Linked DNA regions of Styela clava. Each later gene encodes a partner of the first gene's protein in a complex. Links are inferred from orthologs where the notes say so. Each region holds a gene or a part of one and is shown on either strand. Other genes may lie near its edges.

Region 1 (8,422 bases):
AGGGTTTCCGTATGGCGATATTTAAGTAAAAATACAGGCGCTATTTTGGTATTGACCCGCCACATTCGTTAGGTTATCGCGCTATCATTTTCAAATCTCAGTAGAAGACAATTAATTGAACGTTTGTCTCATGTGTTTTGAAAATGCCTTACATATGCGCTGCAATGACAGCAAAGAGAGTTCAGATAAGGGTTTTCGTATTGCAATATTTACGTAAAAATACAAATTCTATTATGTTATTGTGCCCCACTAAGTTAGGCTAGTTTATCGCGCTATCATTTTCTCTTAATCTTGAGGCAATTAATTGTACGTATGTCTCGTGTGTTCATGCTACAATGGTGCTACAATCTGCGAGAATTTAGTAAAAGGTTATCGTATTGCGATAAAAATACAGATGTGTTTATATGTTGTGTTATTGCGCCCAGCACTCATAGAATAAGTTACGTTAGGTTATTGCCAAACTATTCTTATTGGACAAGAAGTGGACCTATCGTTTTCGTTCGTTATGTTGATTGTCGTTATTACTTATCGATCTTTAGATCGGTAAGTATGCTGATAGGTATTTGTCTGTTTGTCTGGTAGATGCACGCGATATCTCACGAAGGCGTGGTTGAATCTGCTCCAAATTTTGCATGTGCATTCACCAAATCTCGGACCAGAATTATTAAGTTATTAATTGATTAATAATTTTTTTTATAATTAGCGAGTTATTAATTAGTTTTCGATAAGTCTCCGACCGATATTCTCGTTTTTATCTCAGTAGGTAATGTTAGTAAAATAACGCGAGGCGTAATGTGGCGGCAAAATGTATATGTGAGAGTTTGGTAAAGGGTTTTGGTATTGTGATATTAAGAAAAAATACAGATGATATTCTCATTATTCTGCTATTGTGCCAACTAGTCGTAGTAAAGGCGAAAAAAAAAAGTTGTGGCAAAAAGTATGTGAAAGAGTAATATAAAGGGTTTTCGTATTTCAGGATTTCCAAAATATTTTGTATCCAAATCGTATTTCGGGATTTCCGCGGATATACACATGGGTTCAAATGTACGTGGGTTCAAATGTACGGTAACCCTTTTGTGGCAATATCGGGAATGGGAAGATTAAAATAATCAAATGCACAAAGCGCCGCATGTTTATTAAAGTGTAGAATACCAAACTGTTAGACGCTACTAATTTGTGGTAAGTTGTCAGTCGTATTGTATCATGAAGCCCGTACCAGGTAAAATAGCAAATTAGGATGAAGGAAGGTTCGAGTTAGGCACAATCGCATATTTCAGTGGTTCTTGAACTTTTTAAGCCGAGCCCCATTATCAGAATTCGTCAAGTTTCGCGTCTCATCTCAAAAAGTAGCTGACATAAGCTACACTAACAGATAGTAAGGCGAAAGTTTGTTTTATTCGGAAAACACGTTGAAAATGTGGATGTGGATCGAACGTTAATATCCAAAATAAAGAAATGTAAATATCCAAAATAAGGCGAGCAAGATCAAATTTAACAAATATTTTTATTTTTAATGAGCTTCACGCCCCTCAAAAAATTGCCTACGCCCCACCGTTTTGAGAACCACTGGCATATTCATTACAAATTGAATTGAAAATGGCTCAATGTCTACAAGACAGCTTTTCGTGTGGTTTGCAAAACATTACATATATTCATTAATTAGTTGGACTATTGTACAGGAAAGATTCAAATATTTTCTAAAGCACATTAGCCGCGCAGGTGTCAGTATCGTGTTTTACACGTTGGGGCGTTATCGTAAGAAAATATATTCCAACCACAAAAATATGTTAACTGGCTATCAAAGAAAGGTTATCTGTTTCGTCTACCCATAGGACGGGAAGTAAACAGTCGATGGGTAAATATTCAACATTCCAAATTGCCATAGTTAGCTATTTACACTTCTACGCGCTCAGCAGATGATAAACGACATGATTAATAAGGGCGTGATAAACAGCATGCGGTTCACAATAGCTATACCCGTAAATGTGATTGTAATTCCTTAAAATCAAATCTGGTGTCCAAATAGCACTCAAATATACTTCTATATGAGAGCAGGCCAATTATTTGGTGGCGGACACCGGAACGTAGTAATTATTTTAGTTCTTTTACGACTTCGGGGACTAGCAATATGACTCCCGTAGTATTTGTACCAGAAATTATGGCCTAACCCTAACCTGGTACGCTTACTAGGTTTCGGTGTCCGTCATCTTGGTTCACATATTTCGGTAGTACCAATTGATCGGCGATTCGGACCATATTTCCAACTTTATATTTCCAACCTCTCATCTACAATGAGCTTAAAAGCGTCCTTGGGGGAAACTATTTACATGACATTTAAGACCATATTATGTTCAACGCAAATTAAATATGTCTAGATAAGATAAAATCGACCAGATTTCGTGCCGTGGTCGAGTCAGAGTTTCGCTTCATTTCAATCTCAATGCACTTTGTAAAGCGTTCTAGTAACGCCGCGAACGTTGTGTGCACAGGCATAATGGCGGCATTTTTCTCGAGTTTTGCGCGTTGTGATGCGGCATTCGACCTGGCTTGCCCGCCCACGCAGTTCTTACTGCTGAACGTAATTTCAGATTTCTGCGAATTGAAGCGATAATACATTGCGATGCAGATTTTTACTACTATCAACGTTTACAATATTGTTGAATTAAAACAGATCTTTACATTTTGTTGGTCCTGTTTTCAGCTATATTTCAATGAGTTTGTAACAGCCTAAAATACTACATTTGTCTTAACGAAAGTTGGTCTAATTCAACGTTTCCCGACCGAATTAGAATGCTTTTGGGTAATATGAATAGTTTTTCTTTGTATTTGCATGTCTTGCTAATATTTCGTAATTATTTGGTATTCTTTATTGCATATTATATTCATACATTATGGCCTATTCAAAATGTACTAAAAAGTCAAGTTGCACATATCGCGAGCAATTGTTCCTGAAAGATTAAACAACCAAGGGAGGAATTTGAAACTTAAAAAGGCCAAGAGAGGAATGTGTCAAAGGGGGTTAGGAATGGCTGGTCTACTATATATTGTCAGAATGTTTCAGTCAAACTCCACCTGCACGGCAGAGGCAGGAAGTGGTGTTTAATAGCAAGTTTATGATTGAAATCATTATATCAAAACAAGGCGCATTTCCTCATTTATATACATCAGTTGACTGTTGATCTAGCCGGCAAATTGTGTTCAGTTAAGTTATAGTTGCAAGACATTTAAGTTATAGCTGTCCATTTAATACAGACAATTAGAGTCACCATAGGTCATTTGAAAAATATGGCCCAAGACAAACACAGGCAATAGATCTTTACCAACAAAACTTTCATTCTATGAGTTATTTCGTCCACACAGATGTACTTTATAAAATTCCCTCTACAATGTTTTGCCTCGTAGATGTTCTCAAGACATTGTTAACTTGATCAGTTTGAAATATTGTGACAACCTTTATCCACTGACAACTTTATTGAAAAATTAACCTATCTATATTTCCTAGCATACCAGTGGTTTCCTGCACCTCTTCAGTCAATACTATTTTTCGTTAGGAACAAGTTGGAGCAATCTTGCACGAATTAAACAAAACTAGGCGCATTTCCTCATTTATATACACCAGTTGACTTTTGATCTAACTGGCAAATGTGGTCAGTTATTGTTGCAAGACATTTAAGTTATAGTTGTTCATTTCAGTAGTGCATGAACCCTCCATTTGGTGCTATTTAATTTTCAAGTCAGGAACCACCAAACAAAATACCAGTTACGATAATACCAGTTACGATGTTTGCACAAGTTAGTAGTTTTCCATGTATTTATGCAGCGTTATGTGTAGTTAATCTGTTACAGATGGTTTTAGTCATATACTGCCATGCTTGGGATATATTCTGTTTTGTTAGTAATATATCCGTGCCATATATAAGCAATATTAAGTTGCCAGTCACATATGACTGCAAAGCATAAGTAAATAAAATTATGGATCAATGTAGCATTCTATCCCAGAAGGTGTTACTCATGTTTTTCAATAAATGAGAATATTATACATCTGTGGGCAAGTCTATTGCAGTCTCTCGACCTTGTGTGGTATAGGTATTTATGAGCAGAGGAGAATATATTATTAAAGTTCCTATTTGAAATTCTTTTAATCTATACATAACCATTCATTATTCAAGGAAGTAATGTCACCTCTTTTACTTTCCTTTTATGGTCATGGAATTGTGTTTCTGTGAGATTAGAATTTAAATGAGTTTCTGCATTTATAAATAGATATTATAAAGGAAATTCATGTCATTCTATTATCTGTTTATTGTCTACATTTAGCAGACACTGTATCCATAATTTAATTTTATCTGACCGTTAATAACCTTTGTCTTCCTTTGGTGCATTGTGACATCATACTGAAATCACAATTGGAATGGATATTCTGATGACAGAAGACCAGAAGCAGATGACAAAATGCCAACACAGAGACATGCCAGGGCATGGGCATTCCTCTACTGAATCAATTGAAAATAGACAAATTATGGTTTCAAAATCCATGCCACGGTTTTCAATAAGGACTTCAAATATATTATTGACTATTTTTACGCTTCATTGCCTTTTATTTATGACTCACAATTATGTGGAAGGATTTAATTTGGATGTTAAATTTCCTACTCTTGTTACGATACCGGAAAAGAAATCATATTTTGGATACACAGTAGGAATGTACTCAAGTGAAGGCGAATCTTGGTAAGTGAATATTTTAATAATATTTTGCTCAGAGCAAGGTCACGAACACTCACCCAGAAGTGAGGAAGATTCATCTCTCAGCAAAGTTATGGACAACTACTGAAATGCCCAGAGCTACAAGCACACACTCAGAGAAGTAATGAAGACTCATTTCTGAGGAAAGTCGCGGGTGATCAAGAAAGTTTCGAGAGAAATTGAAACTACAGTATATAGATTAATAGTAATACATTATGCCAGGGGTGTGCAAACTGTGGTTGCAGGCCACAAGAAAAAATAGTGCGGCCTGCGGAGAAGTGCCAATTTTAAATGATGTGCGGCCCTTGAAACGAGTTTTTAATTCAGTTCAATCTGGTGAGTGCGAGTAATTCCCAAGTTGCAAAGCCTATATCGGAACCAAATTTATTATCTATGCCTATGATGTCACAATGCCCTAACAGCTAGCTTGTGCGAAACGAACAACATATCATAATATCAACAACATATTTTTTGTGCCTGCAATTACTAGAGAGCCTATGTTAAATAAAGGTGTGGCCCAGTTATTTGTATGTGGCCCTCCAGTATTGAAGGTTGCACACCCCTGCATTACAGACTAGTAAATACTGATTGACACGAAACCTGAAGCAGTTCAATTCAATGGATGTTTCTCTGGTTAATTTTTTTTTTTATTTAGTACTATATAGGAAAAAATATTTCGGGGTCAAGGGTCGGGGAAACATCCATACCATCAGGAAAACAGCAAGAGATAGTAAATACTGCATATTGCAAATATTAGTGGTTTGGAAATCATGTGATTCCAATAGGAAATTAGGAATGTTCAAAGAAGTATAGGGTGTCTCAACTTTTTATAAAATTGCAAAGGGAAAGAAGAGCCGATATGCCGGCTCAATCATTTGGCGAACCACGGCCTCTCGTCCGGTTACCAGTCCATGTCGGGTATGGGATTAGTTAGCCAGGTATTTGTTTTCAGATGCATGGATTTGATGGTAGAGGAAGCCTCAACCGACCAGCAGTTATGTGAACCACCCATTAGTTATTGACATTACTTTGATCAAACTTATATGAATAATAAAAAAAGTTGTCTCATTATCTAGAAAGCTTGTGAGTGTTACATGTATCCAAATTTTCTTCTTCTCTCCCAAATTATCACATTGTCTCTGGAAAGCTTGTAGAGATATATGTCTCTAAATTTTCAGAATGAAAAGTTGAAGAAGAAACTTATATTTTGTCCAAGCTTGAATAGATTAATGTATAGCTGTTAAACATTACCCATCACATACTATGTGCTCTTCTAAAAATAATATCTCGGAACATGTTAAGGCACAGACAATACAGGACATACAACAGACATGAGTATGCTATTAGTTATTCCCCATAGACATTGATAACATCTGATCACATCTCACGGGAATTAATTAGACTAATTAGCTTTGTTTCTGCCTAATACAAGTTGGCAAGGCTAGACCACAACTTATTCAATGTAGTTTGTGGGTTATTCGGGTTGAAAGTTGATGTAATAGCCTGACATCTAGACTGACAGGAATGTCTATGATGGAAAAGATAATTATGCTACACTTTGTTTCATAATTTTCAATATTCTGAACCACCAACTTTGATCAATCAATTAATTTCATTTTGGTCACTCTGGCATAAAACTAAACAAGTAGGCCAACAAAATGCTGAAGACCTGGAGGACGGGCATAATATAGCAAGCAAAGTTTAACATACAAGTTTGGACCCATCCACCAAAAACAGTTGAAGAACATAATAAAATGAACATACATGATATATAATCAGGCAATAAATCTTAAATGCACAAAAATGAAAATACACTTCAGCAAACAGTGCGAATCGAACAATCCATGAGCTCGACTTCTTGTCCAGTAAAACACAAAACAAAGAGAACTATGGCAAACTGTGCGGGTTAAAACAAGCTTGTCTTAGATTTTGTACCTATGTCCAACATTGGGTTGCAAAATCATGGCAAGTATAGCCACAATTTTTTAAACGCATTTAATCAAAAATTGCATTTTGCTCATTGTAGAATCGTTTTATATACCGGTATGTATATCGTTATACCTGATTACATATGAGTTGAGCTTGAAAAAATATAATGTAAAAAATTGTGATAAATTATGAAAAGTTTATTTAATGTCAAAAAGTCCTAGTTTGCATTTTGTGCCAAAATACACACACACATGATTGCTTCACCATACCGATTATTGGTTATCAAATATTCATTAAAATAAAATAAATTTCGCCAGATATTGACTTTCTTTTACCAGGACCGTAATTCCACACTGTTTTATATCGATGTTTGAATAATTGTTGTAATGAATTAGGTAACCATCTATAAGCAGTCGATGATGATTATTTTTTTTCTCCTGACTTAAAAGGAGTGTTTTAATATTGTAAATATGTTTGCCTGTGCCTTGTCCTGATAAGAATCTGCTTTAGGGCTCGGTCAACCTTGCAGTCTTGCGCGCCCCTTTCGGATTATTACTTATCGATTTTAATCGGTAAGTATGTTGATAGGTATTTGTCTGCCTGTATGTCTGTTAGATGCACGCGATATCTTACGAAAGCGAGATTGATTCTAATCCAGATTTTGCATGTGCATTCATCTTATCTCGGACCAAAGTCTTTCCCTCTGTTCAGTATATATATAGATATTATAATATTAAAAGCATTAATTTTCTATTTTCAGGCTTATTGTTGGAGCTCCAAAATCTTTAGAACGTGGTGAAATATACAAATGCAAATATGAAGTTAACACGCACAGCAACTGTACAAGAATAAAAGTTTCTAAAGGTATATTTTATAAAATACAAAGTCAACTAATAGAAATTGCAGTGTTTCCGAGCTCAAATTGCCTACTTTGATAAATGCATTAAAAAGCGGGAACTTCCAAGTAAAAAGCTAATATTTTGCACCAGAATTTTCCATCTTATTGATAATAAGAACTATACACACACAAATTCAATGAAATTGAAAACAAAATTGCATGTCAGAGTGCCGAAAACCAACTCTAGTTATTGAGCGGCAGCACTTCGACACCACCGTTTCAACAAAAAAATGTTGACTCCAATCACCACAGTTTTAGTAACCATGAAAATAACAGTGTGAGACGGGCTCGCAATGTTAGACAGAAAACATATATAAATATAATTTAGTATATCAGCTTCATTCTTACTCTTTCGTAACAGATGATGTCCCATCTCAACAGATCAAAGATATGTTTGGAATGACAATGTTGACAGGAGAAGATAAACAGTTAATGGTAAGTTCATCATATTGATTACAAAATTGGTAATCTACATATTCCTAACACGTGTTTTAAAAATGTTAAGTCCTATACTCCTACAGTTCCTTTCTTGCAGCACACGTATCTATCTCACTTTGCCACATTTGTGGCAACTTATCCTGCTTTTCCCACACTTTTTTTTTACCTTTGTTCCCCATGTAAAATAGAAGGTGATAGTGTAAAAAAGTGTGAGAACAAGTGTGGACAAGTGCAGGATAAGTGGAGCAAGACATTTTTAATACACCCTGTTGCCAACTTTGTGACTATCCCCATGATTAAGTTATCAACTAAATTTTTTTTCTCTTTTCTTATGGTGAATGGAAATCTTACCCAGTTCTTCGAACTGTTCGCTCACATGTGGTTACATGTATAGAACCAATCGGCGATGTGGTG
Region 2 (8,919 bases), on another chromosome or scaffold:
CCTTCTGACTTTTTTATAGTGTGAGGTAGTATAGAAAACATATTTCGTCATATTTTATTTTCGGTTCCACTATCGTCTCAACAGATGATATGTGTTCCTCGTTCACCTGAATAATGTGAATGCCATGAATACATCACGGCTCAATGATGTCTACAGAATTTGAGGGGATTTGACCTGTATGCGGCTGTACTGGTTCTATTGAAAAGTGAAATTCACTACGTGGACGATTTGTAATATTGCTTGCATTTCCGGTCTTAAAGCAAGTGAGGGTCGATTTCCGGATGTGAAATTGTCTGATTGGTTACGTTTGGCCAAGTTTGGTCCGAAATCACAATGCCTGACTATATAGATTTCTTCTTTGGCATTGCACATAAAAACGTCATCTCATGACAGGGAAATGGCAGTAATGCAACAAGTAATGGTTTTGAATTGGCAATAGTACAAGATATTGGAATCGCATTGAGTTTTAGCGCACGGTCTGTGGGCAGACAGCAAAGTTTCAATTACTTTCGTTTGTTTGTTATTTTGATTCATCTCGATTTTATATTTTCATTACAACAGTTGAGGTTTGATATGAAAATGACTTATGATTTTTAAAAAACGAAAATATATGTTGTAATGGAATCAGAATTGTATATATTTGCACAGCATTGGTTTGTTATTTTTACATACATATACCACTACCGTAAATTTGTAGTTGATTTGTGATTGCGCAATAGTTTGCTTGCTATTTCGTTATATAGCAACCCGTATTAGGTCATTCAGTAATCTATAAGTAAACTGTTATTGACAAAATTGATCTATTATATAGTTTTGAACTTGATCAATTTTGCTGCAGTACCATAATTAATATTATAGTTTAATGTGTCAAATTGTCTCATTACACATTCAAGCGAAAAATACATATAGAGAGTGATCGATGTAAATATTGAAACGAATAAAACTCACAAAATTCTATTCATTATATTGATGTAAAACGAAAAACGTAATTACTTTGTGCCTTTCATGAAATAAGCTTGAGTTTCAATGTCAATTTAATGTGTTCAGATAATGAAGGAAGATCAGGCAGGTGAGAAATGTTCAAATGTAGCAAACAACTATATAATCGATACTTTTCTTAGGTTCCGTAAAAAAGTGAACTATAGTGGTGGCAAATGATAATGATTTCAGCAATATATTGCCATGTAAAACTAATATGGTATTTAAGAACCGAATGTACCTAAACTGCTTTCTTTCGACAGAGTATTTATTTGGAACTCTATACTCCCTAAAACGTGATAGAACAAGTAAATTATGCTTTTGAATGGAGAGAAGTTTGAATGGAGAGAGTAAGACAAGGGGCACTTATGGTTAAAATGACAGAAAATTTCATTTTTTGTGATTTGTTGTTGCAAAGTTTTCATGAATCGGGATCTTATATTAGTTATTTTTAAAAAATCGCAATATGTAGTGGACTATGTTAATTATTGTATAAAATTGGCATTCATTTATCTATCGACTTTTTTTTATATATAGACAAATTAACTCATACAATCAAAGCAATTGATCCGCATTTCTGAGAAAACTTGGATTGTTGTAATGTGTCTTAATTCGTGATCAAAATAAATCCGAAACGGGACGAATTTAATGGATATATAATTTCCCCGTTCTATTTCTATGGCGCCTTAGAAGGTGATAACGAAAGATGGAAATATAAAGTACCGTGGATAGATATTGCCCTTGTTCTTACTACAAGTCGTTCATTCTTTTTAGTGTACCATTATCGACATTGTACTCTAACGACAGCAATATAAGATGATTATTATTTTATGATATTTTCAAACATATTTTCATCCCAATATTTTAGTTAGATTAAAATTTCAAATGTGAATTTTCTCAAGCACGTTGAAGTTTTTTGATCAATTATTTGTTAATCGATTTTGCTAAATTTATCGACTTTCAGACTTCACATAAATTCACAAAGACTGATAAAACTCTATCCCAGAATAAAATATTGATCACGTATTTTAAGTGCATAAAATGCACGTTTTGGGAATATATTGTAGTTTTGTGACGTTGATTGCACAGACGTCGGCGTATGAGAACACAATACATATAACAATATTCACACGAAGATCTGTTTAAGTATGGATGTTGTCGACACATAAACTTACATCATAGCATTCTTATAATATATTTAGCCCAATGGTGTGTATAGGTATTTTCGAATTGCGAATACTTTTTAGATTAGGCAGGATCAATAGCTATCACCACATTGTCAGAGTATGAACGAGAAATACACAGGATATGTAAAACTAACAAACATAGGGAGAAAAATAGTTTTATGGCTAAGAAAGCGAGTACTTAGAATATTGTTTGTATTAGATTTAAACTAAAAAGTCAAGCGAGCATTCTATTCCACATGTACGGCGAAAGCCTTTGTAGAAAGGGATTTGTCAATGATTCCACGATTTTTTTTATTGAAACTCTTCAGTGATTTTTCATTGATTTCGGTGCTTTTTCAAACAAATGAATTTCTTTTAAACGTCAGGATTGGTTTGGTTGAGTTTATGAAGTGAAAGAGGAATTTTTGTAAATGAATAAGAATATATTCCGAACCTAATTTATATTTTGTGACAATCGTTCCATTGGAACTTGACTAGTAAACAAGCATTACTTATTGAAATGAATGTTCTTTGAATTATTCATTGCAGATTAAATCCGTTGATAATTAATTTTTAGTAGCTTATTTATATCAAATTTTGTGTCAATTAGCTAGTTTTGTTCAATACAACTTCTAGACGTGTTTTTTGTGATACCGTATTGAAGAAAGCTAAAGAAAAGATATTCACAATGGCGCACATGGCTTGGTCGAATTGGGAAAATAAAGATGAATGTAAGTATTTTTATCGATTATTTGTCATGTTTATTCCTAGGCCTATCAATTCAACACACTCATTTCTTTTACTTTCAATGGTTATGGCATTACCACAAATATTTGTGACATGGTACAGCAGACTTAAGTGAGTTTGAAGTGGACCATTGAAATGCTTTGCTAACCTGTAGTTGTTCGTGCTCATGTTCGAGAAAACTACTGAACCAATGGTTTTCTAGTTTTCTTGAACATGAATGGTTTTGACAAATAACCGGCCTCTAGAGATCATGTCAAAGACCCATCAGACCACAAGATTCGCCACTTCAACTAAAGCAAAAGTGCCGTGGAATGATTTGGGAGATTTTAGCCATCCACAATGATGAATTGCTGGACGATGTGCACTGTTATAAAATACAAGATGACAAAAATCAGGTTAAAATAAAAAATGAAATAAAAGTTATCCATGGCGATATGAGAGTCCTGTACACGGACCGGATTGTACCGGCTTCAAAATAGCTGGAGGATGAGAAAAAGAGAAAACACTGCAAATCATATAGGCTATGGTGCTCCTCTGCCTCGCGTCGAGTTATCAGTCAAGATCTAATGAATTTTGGCAATCAAAAGCAAGCTCACTGTTTACGGGTGGGCAAGGTTTTTGAACCCAGGGCCATAAAATTTGCCCATCCACATTGGCGGGCCATGTAAGTGTGACGTAAAAGTTACATTATATGAACAATATTCACAGTGTTACAAGAGCAGACGTGGAAAGCAATAGGCCTCGTGCCGAAACTAAATTGAATCGCAAATTTACCAAATTCCTAGTTATTTTTAGCTGAAACATCAAAATTTGGTTTTAGTTTAGGTATGGCAGCATTAGGCAGTCCAGATTGAATTACTCAACTGGCCGGATTTGGCCCGCGGGCCGTAGTTTGTTCATGCCAGTTAAACCAACAAACCTCAAACGACAAACTGTCGATGTCCTCTCAATCAGTTCGGCGGAATTGAATATTTATCCTGCCTGTTGATTCTACAAATCGAAGGTCGGATCGTACGTTCATCGCTATTGGTTTTCCATTTTGAAGACGTCTGAAGGGTCGGTCTGTGTGTGAGTTATCCTTACGCATATTTGAATGGGCCCCCAATGCTGCAATGCATGAACATTTCTGGCGGATAGCGCGATAAACTACCCTATCCGCCAGACTAGGGTTAGTTCGGATACCTATAATTTTTACTATCCGGATAACGGATATATCCGGGTATTCCATATTTTAACTATCCGGTTGACCGGATAGTTACTGCTAATTTTAAAGATCCGATTTCGCAAGATTTTTACGGCGAATTGATCAAAAACCACCACACAGTTCTATTGTTAATAGCTCAAATTTGCAAGATCGCAAAAATACGAATAAAAACTGATATTATTTGTGCAGCTTACTACGTATTTTCATATATGCAGAATGCGGTGGCATTTTATAGTAGAAGTGCTTTAATTTCAACGTATGTCGACGCAATCGAGAGATACGTTGAACAGAGTTATTATGGAAAGACATTTTAAAATGCTCGAATCAGCCACAAATTGGTTATTTTGCGCAATAGAAAAATTTAAGAAGTTGAAAACATGCACATTACATGCATTCGTAAACCAAAAATTTAGAAATGCTACACAGATCACATAGATTACGAAGTATTGGGAATTAAGTCATGGCTTGTTCCAGCATGAAATGCGTTCCTTCAATACACGCAATAAACTAAAAGCCACACCTGACCAAAAAGCCACAAACCCACACCCACACATTCAATGCTTTTCAACCTAATTGGTGGCTAAATATGGGCAGAGTAGTGTGAATAGAAGGTGTTATTATATGCTCTGGAGTCTGGGAGATGTCAAGACGCCACTCAACAAAAAATATAAAAATTACTAATGCGCATATACATTATTTATATTCCTCTATTATCCGGTTAACCGTCACAATATTATCCGGATATCAGATAGTAAAATACCTCTCGGTTAATCGGTTATCCGGATAACCGCTATCCGGATAATCCAACTCTACGCCAGACATCGGTAGAATGAGACAACCGATTGGATACCGGTACCGGTACTTATTTGTAAGAATATTTGGTTTCGGTGATTAGACTTATACAAATTTGTTTTGGTGGGAGGCAGCACCGGTGGGTGTGCCAGTGACGTCATAGGTATTGCCGCCGTATACGGCTCATTCTTAATTCAGTAATTGCGTTTTCAGGATAATATGTGCGTTTGGCTTCCCCGACAGATCATTTAGATTTTTGAGGTACCGGGACGTTGAACTATATTATATTAATAACAAATAGACTAGAGTGTTCAGTTTTTCAAATGATAATCTAACATGGAATTCGCACAAAAATCCATTGTGCCGTTGTAGCATACGGTAACTGAACTGAACACAGTTCCGCAGTTTGAACTGCTGAGGTACGGTACCGGTACCGTACGGTATCCGCGAACATTCAACAGTTTCTGTCAATGTCAGAATGTGGCAGAAAGGAGATGTTGTTAATTCTGAAACAGCGGTAGCAGCATATACCAGTATACATATATCTGGATATAGTGAAATTATTGTACCTCATTATTTCAATATTTGAATGAATTAATTGATAACAATTGATGAACACATCACCAAACTCTGAAACTTATGAATTCAGTTGAATTAGAAGCATTGTAATTTGAAATTAAACAACGGATATACAAAATGTCATACCAGAAATCTCCCGCAAGAAGGGAACCGGAAAAATCTGAAGGATTTTTTTCATTAACACTTGGACGCAAGAAAAAGCAACGAGATTCTGGTATATTCAGATATTGGATGGAACTTTATCATACATTGGCAATTCTTTGTCAGATCATATAAAGATTGGTGTTGCCGCTCCCCTTTTCTATTGTAGATTTCTAGGTTCTTTGTTATCGAATCAAATATAAATTAATTTTTGTTAAATTATAAAGACCTGTGTTGCTATTTCTATTTCAAATTTTCAATGTACTAATGCCACAAATTACCCAATTACAGAATAGTGTCACCAAGTAATTGGTTGATTTGTAGTTGATATTGAATCAAATATAAAGCCACAAATTGTAATTTTTATGTGGCCATATTTTGATCATACAAATCTTATTATCAACTGTCATCAAAAGTATATTTTTAATCATAACTTTGTCAACTTGGCCTTTGGCGAGTAAAAACATTGTTATAATTGTGGTATCTTAAATTACTTTTGTTAAAATCGTTAGAATTTTTACTCCTTCCTTTTTTCGAAACTATTTTAATGTGAGTGTGTACTCTAACTTTTGATTTTCTCTTGCAGTAAATGCATTGGACATAGAAGCTCGAGATGCAATTGATGGAGGTACAGTCACACAAGAGATTGATCCTTCGAGTTTCCATTTAGAAGAAGGAGAAGAGAGATCTATGATCGATCAAAAATCAAGAGAAGCTAAAGATGTTGTGGATCTTGAGCGGGTGTGAATTGAATTTCATTAGAGTTGTACAGGGTGACCTAAAAACAGAACACATAAATTTCTTAATAAATACTTTAAAAAAATTATTTAATTTTGTTTAATTTAGTCCTAATAGTATGTGCGTGTGATTGACAACTCTGGATTCGTTACATTACTCACTCACTTTATGTGTGAATATTAAAAAAACTACATAATATATCATTATTCTTATTTAATTTTTTGTTTAATATACTACTGTTAATATATTGATTATAATGGTTGATGAAAACCCTGTCAAAGGACATTACCTAATTATTAATCTTGACAGCTCATGTTTGCTAATAGGTAAATTATATAGATAAAAAAAATTTCAGTAGGTCTAGTCTGGTAGTATTTCCGGCTGTTTCATCTGTTTGAACAAACCCTATTCCATCTGTTCTCCTCCAAGGGGGCCACAACGCAGTCAGAGAAGGCCACAATGCTAGACGCAAAACTCATTTTACTTTTCACTTTACAAGAAAACCTCGCGTTCTTCCTAGTTTCATTGCTCGATAAGGTTATTTCGCAGAGTGTTTTCACTTTGCTGAGTATAAATTGTTTGAACATATTGGGATTTGAAATCTACCAATCAAGATAACACTATAAATATCACTGATTTAATAAACAGGAAAGCCATGAGCCATAAAAGGTTGGAAACCACTGCCTTACTCTGATTGCTTCTGTTTTAGGTTCTCATGGAATGGATTGATGATGTTCTTGTCGAACAAAGAATTATTGTTAAAAATATACAAGAAGATTTGTTTGATGGACAAGTTTTGCAGAAACTTTTAGAAAAACTTGGTGATGTCAAGTTACAGGTTGGCTTGACTTTTTTCTATTATCGTTCTATTTCTTTACTCCTGCCAAACCTATCTCAATCTTGCTCATATTGAGTGTAAAAATTACTCACTGTTTTAATGAGATAGCTAGTCAATTACAACGGGGAGTTTTTCTGTAATATAATTTTTAATACCTTTCCAAGATAAATTCAAATTTAGACATGACATTGTTTCTGTATACCTATACAACAAAAATATGATATTGTACTACGAAACATTTAGGTTCCGGAAGTTACGCAAACAGCTCAAGGACAAAAAGATAAACTCAGGGCAGTTCTAGATAAAGTCAGTCAACAACTACAAATACAAAGCTGGAATGAAACTAAATGGAGTGTTGATAGTAAGTATTTTACAATGTAATTTTTTTTAGGACACACACAAGCATAATCCAAGAAAATAAAATTTAAATTTTAGCTCGCATTTTTGTTAATTATAATTATCAAGACTGCTTTCTGAAAATGATTATGATCGGAACATTCTGTGTCATCAGTTTTTTTTGACTTATCTCAATAGGATAGGATTTTCATATTTTAAAGGGAAAGAGTGAAGCCTATAAGACAGCTTAATTATATTGTTAATTATGACATCTCATCCAGTTACTAGCCCACTACACACTTGATTATCTTGTAAGGATTCAAAACCACACCATGCCATTTCCATGACTATAGACAAGCTCTTTCGAGACATATTTTACCTAAAATTTTTTGGTACTCCCGAAGTATGTGTGCCAGGTTGAGGTTGGGCCATAATTTTATTTCGATTTTCCTTATTTTAGTGCTATTACGAGTTCGAGGAATGTCTGTGTTAGCCGAGTAAATATCCCCCTGCCCATAGGTTTCAGTCCCTTCACATAACTTGATGTAAAATAGGCGAACAAAATTGGTGACCTCCATATTGGCATACATACTTCTCGAGCGCCAATTTTTTTAATTCAGTGTTTTTCTGAAATCATTACTGCTGTGTTTATGACTTTTCACCTTTTTCAGGTATCCATTCAAAGAATCTTATTGCAATACTTCATTTACTAGTAGCACTTGCTGCCCATTATAAAGCACCGATACGATTGCCAGAAGATGTTCATATTAAAGTATGTTGTTTTTATATGCTGCTTATGTATCATTATTCTATTATTATTTGTGTATTTGGCTGTGATATATTTTAATTCTAGCTTGATAAATCAAGTCCTTAATTGTAAATTATGCAATTCCAACTTCTGCAGATAAATACCCTTTCATGTGATCATTACTTACATTTATCAAATCTTATTTTTATCCCATAATCATTTTTGAAATAAGGAATCTTCAGTATTCATGACATTTTTATATAACAATTTAAATGTCAATTGTTTTTGTCCGTCTGTTATAAGGTTGTAGATGTATTTGTATATCATCAGGTCAATACTTGATATTTATGGACTCATTAACTTTCTTTTTTGTCTGTCTTCAATTATTCTTAAACGATTGAAACACTTTTCTTTAGGTTGTTGTTGTCAAGAAAGTTGGTGGAAAGTTAGAACACAGAATGGTTGAGGAGCAAATCACTTCTACCATGGAGTAAGTTGAATTGTAAAATGTATCTAATTATTTCAATTGCTTTGTAATAAATTACGATATGTTATAAATAATGAATTGAAATATAGGTATCATTCGTTATAATCGAGTGATGTTTTTGTCCTGTGAAAGAAAAGTTTGCCTAATTGACAAAATAGCCCTCTG

Evidence for each region. Proteins that work in one complex are often made in the same cells at the same time.
Region 2: integrin alpha-V-like (region 1) and beta-parvin-like share a complex: the UniProt entries of both Caenorhabditis elegans proteins name them as parts of the integrin containing attachment complex. The link is inferred for Styela clava from reciprocal best matches to the Caenorhabditis elegans genes pat-2 and pat-6.

What each region holds. Positions count from the first base shown.
Region 1 is NC_135263.1:3,186,255-3,194,676, forward strand, and holds the start of integrin alpha-V-like, read left to right. Parts: upstream 1-4,317; 5' UTR 4,318-4,411; coding exon 4,412-4,728; intron 4,729-7,432; coding exon 7,433-7,536; intron 7,537-7,931; coding exon 7,932-8,005; intron 8,006-8,422. UniProt on the Caenorhabditis elegans protein: Required for muscle development probably through the regulation of the actin-myosin cytoskeleton. Component of an integrin containing attachment complex, which is required for muscle maintenance.
Region 2 is NC_135255.1:14,757,632-14,766,550, reverse strand, and holds the start of beta-parvin-like, read left to right. Parts: upstream 1-5,436; 5' UTR 5,437-5,583; coding exon 5,584-5,680; intron 5,681-6,193; coding exon 6,194-6,348; intron 6,349-7,054; coding exon 7,055-7,183; intron 7,184-7,426; coding exon 7,427-7,544; intron 7,545-8,190; coding exon 8,191-8,291; intron 8,292-8,683; coding exon 8,684-8,757; intron 8,758-8,919. UniProt on the Caenorhabditis elegans protein: Involved in the regulation of cell adhesion and cytoskeleton organization. Component of an integrin containing attachment complex, which is required for muscle development and maintenance.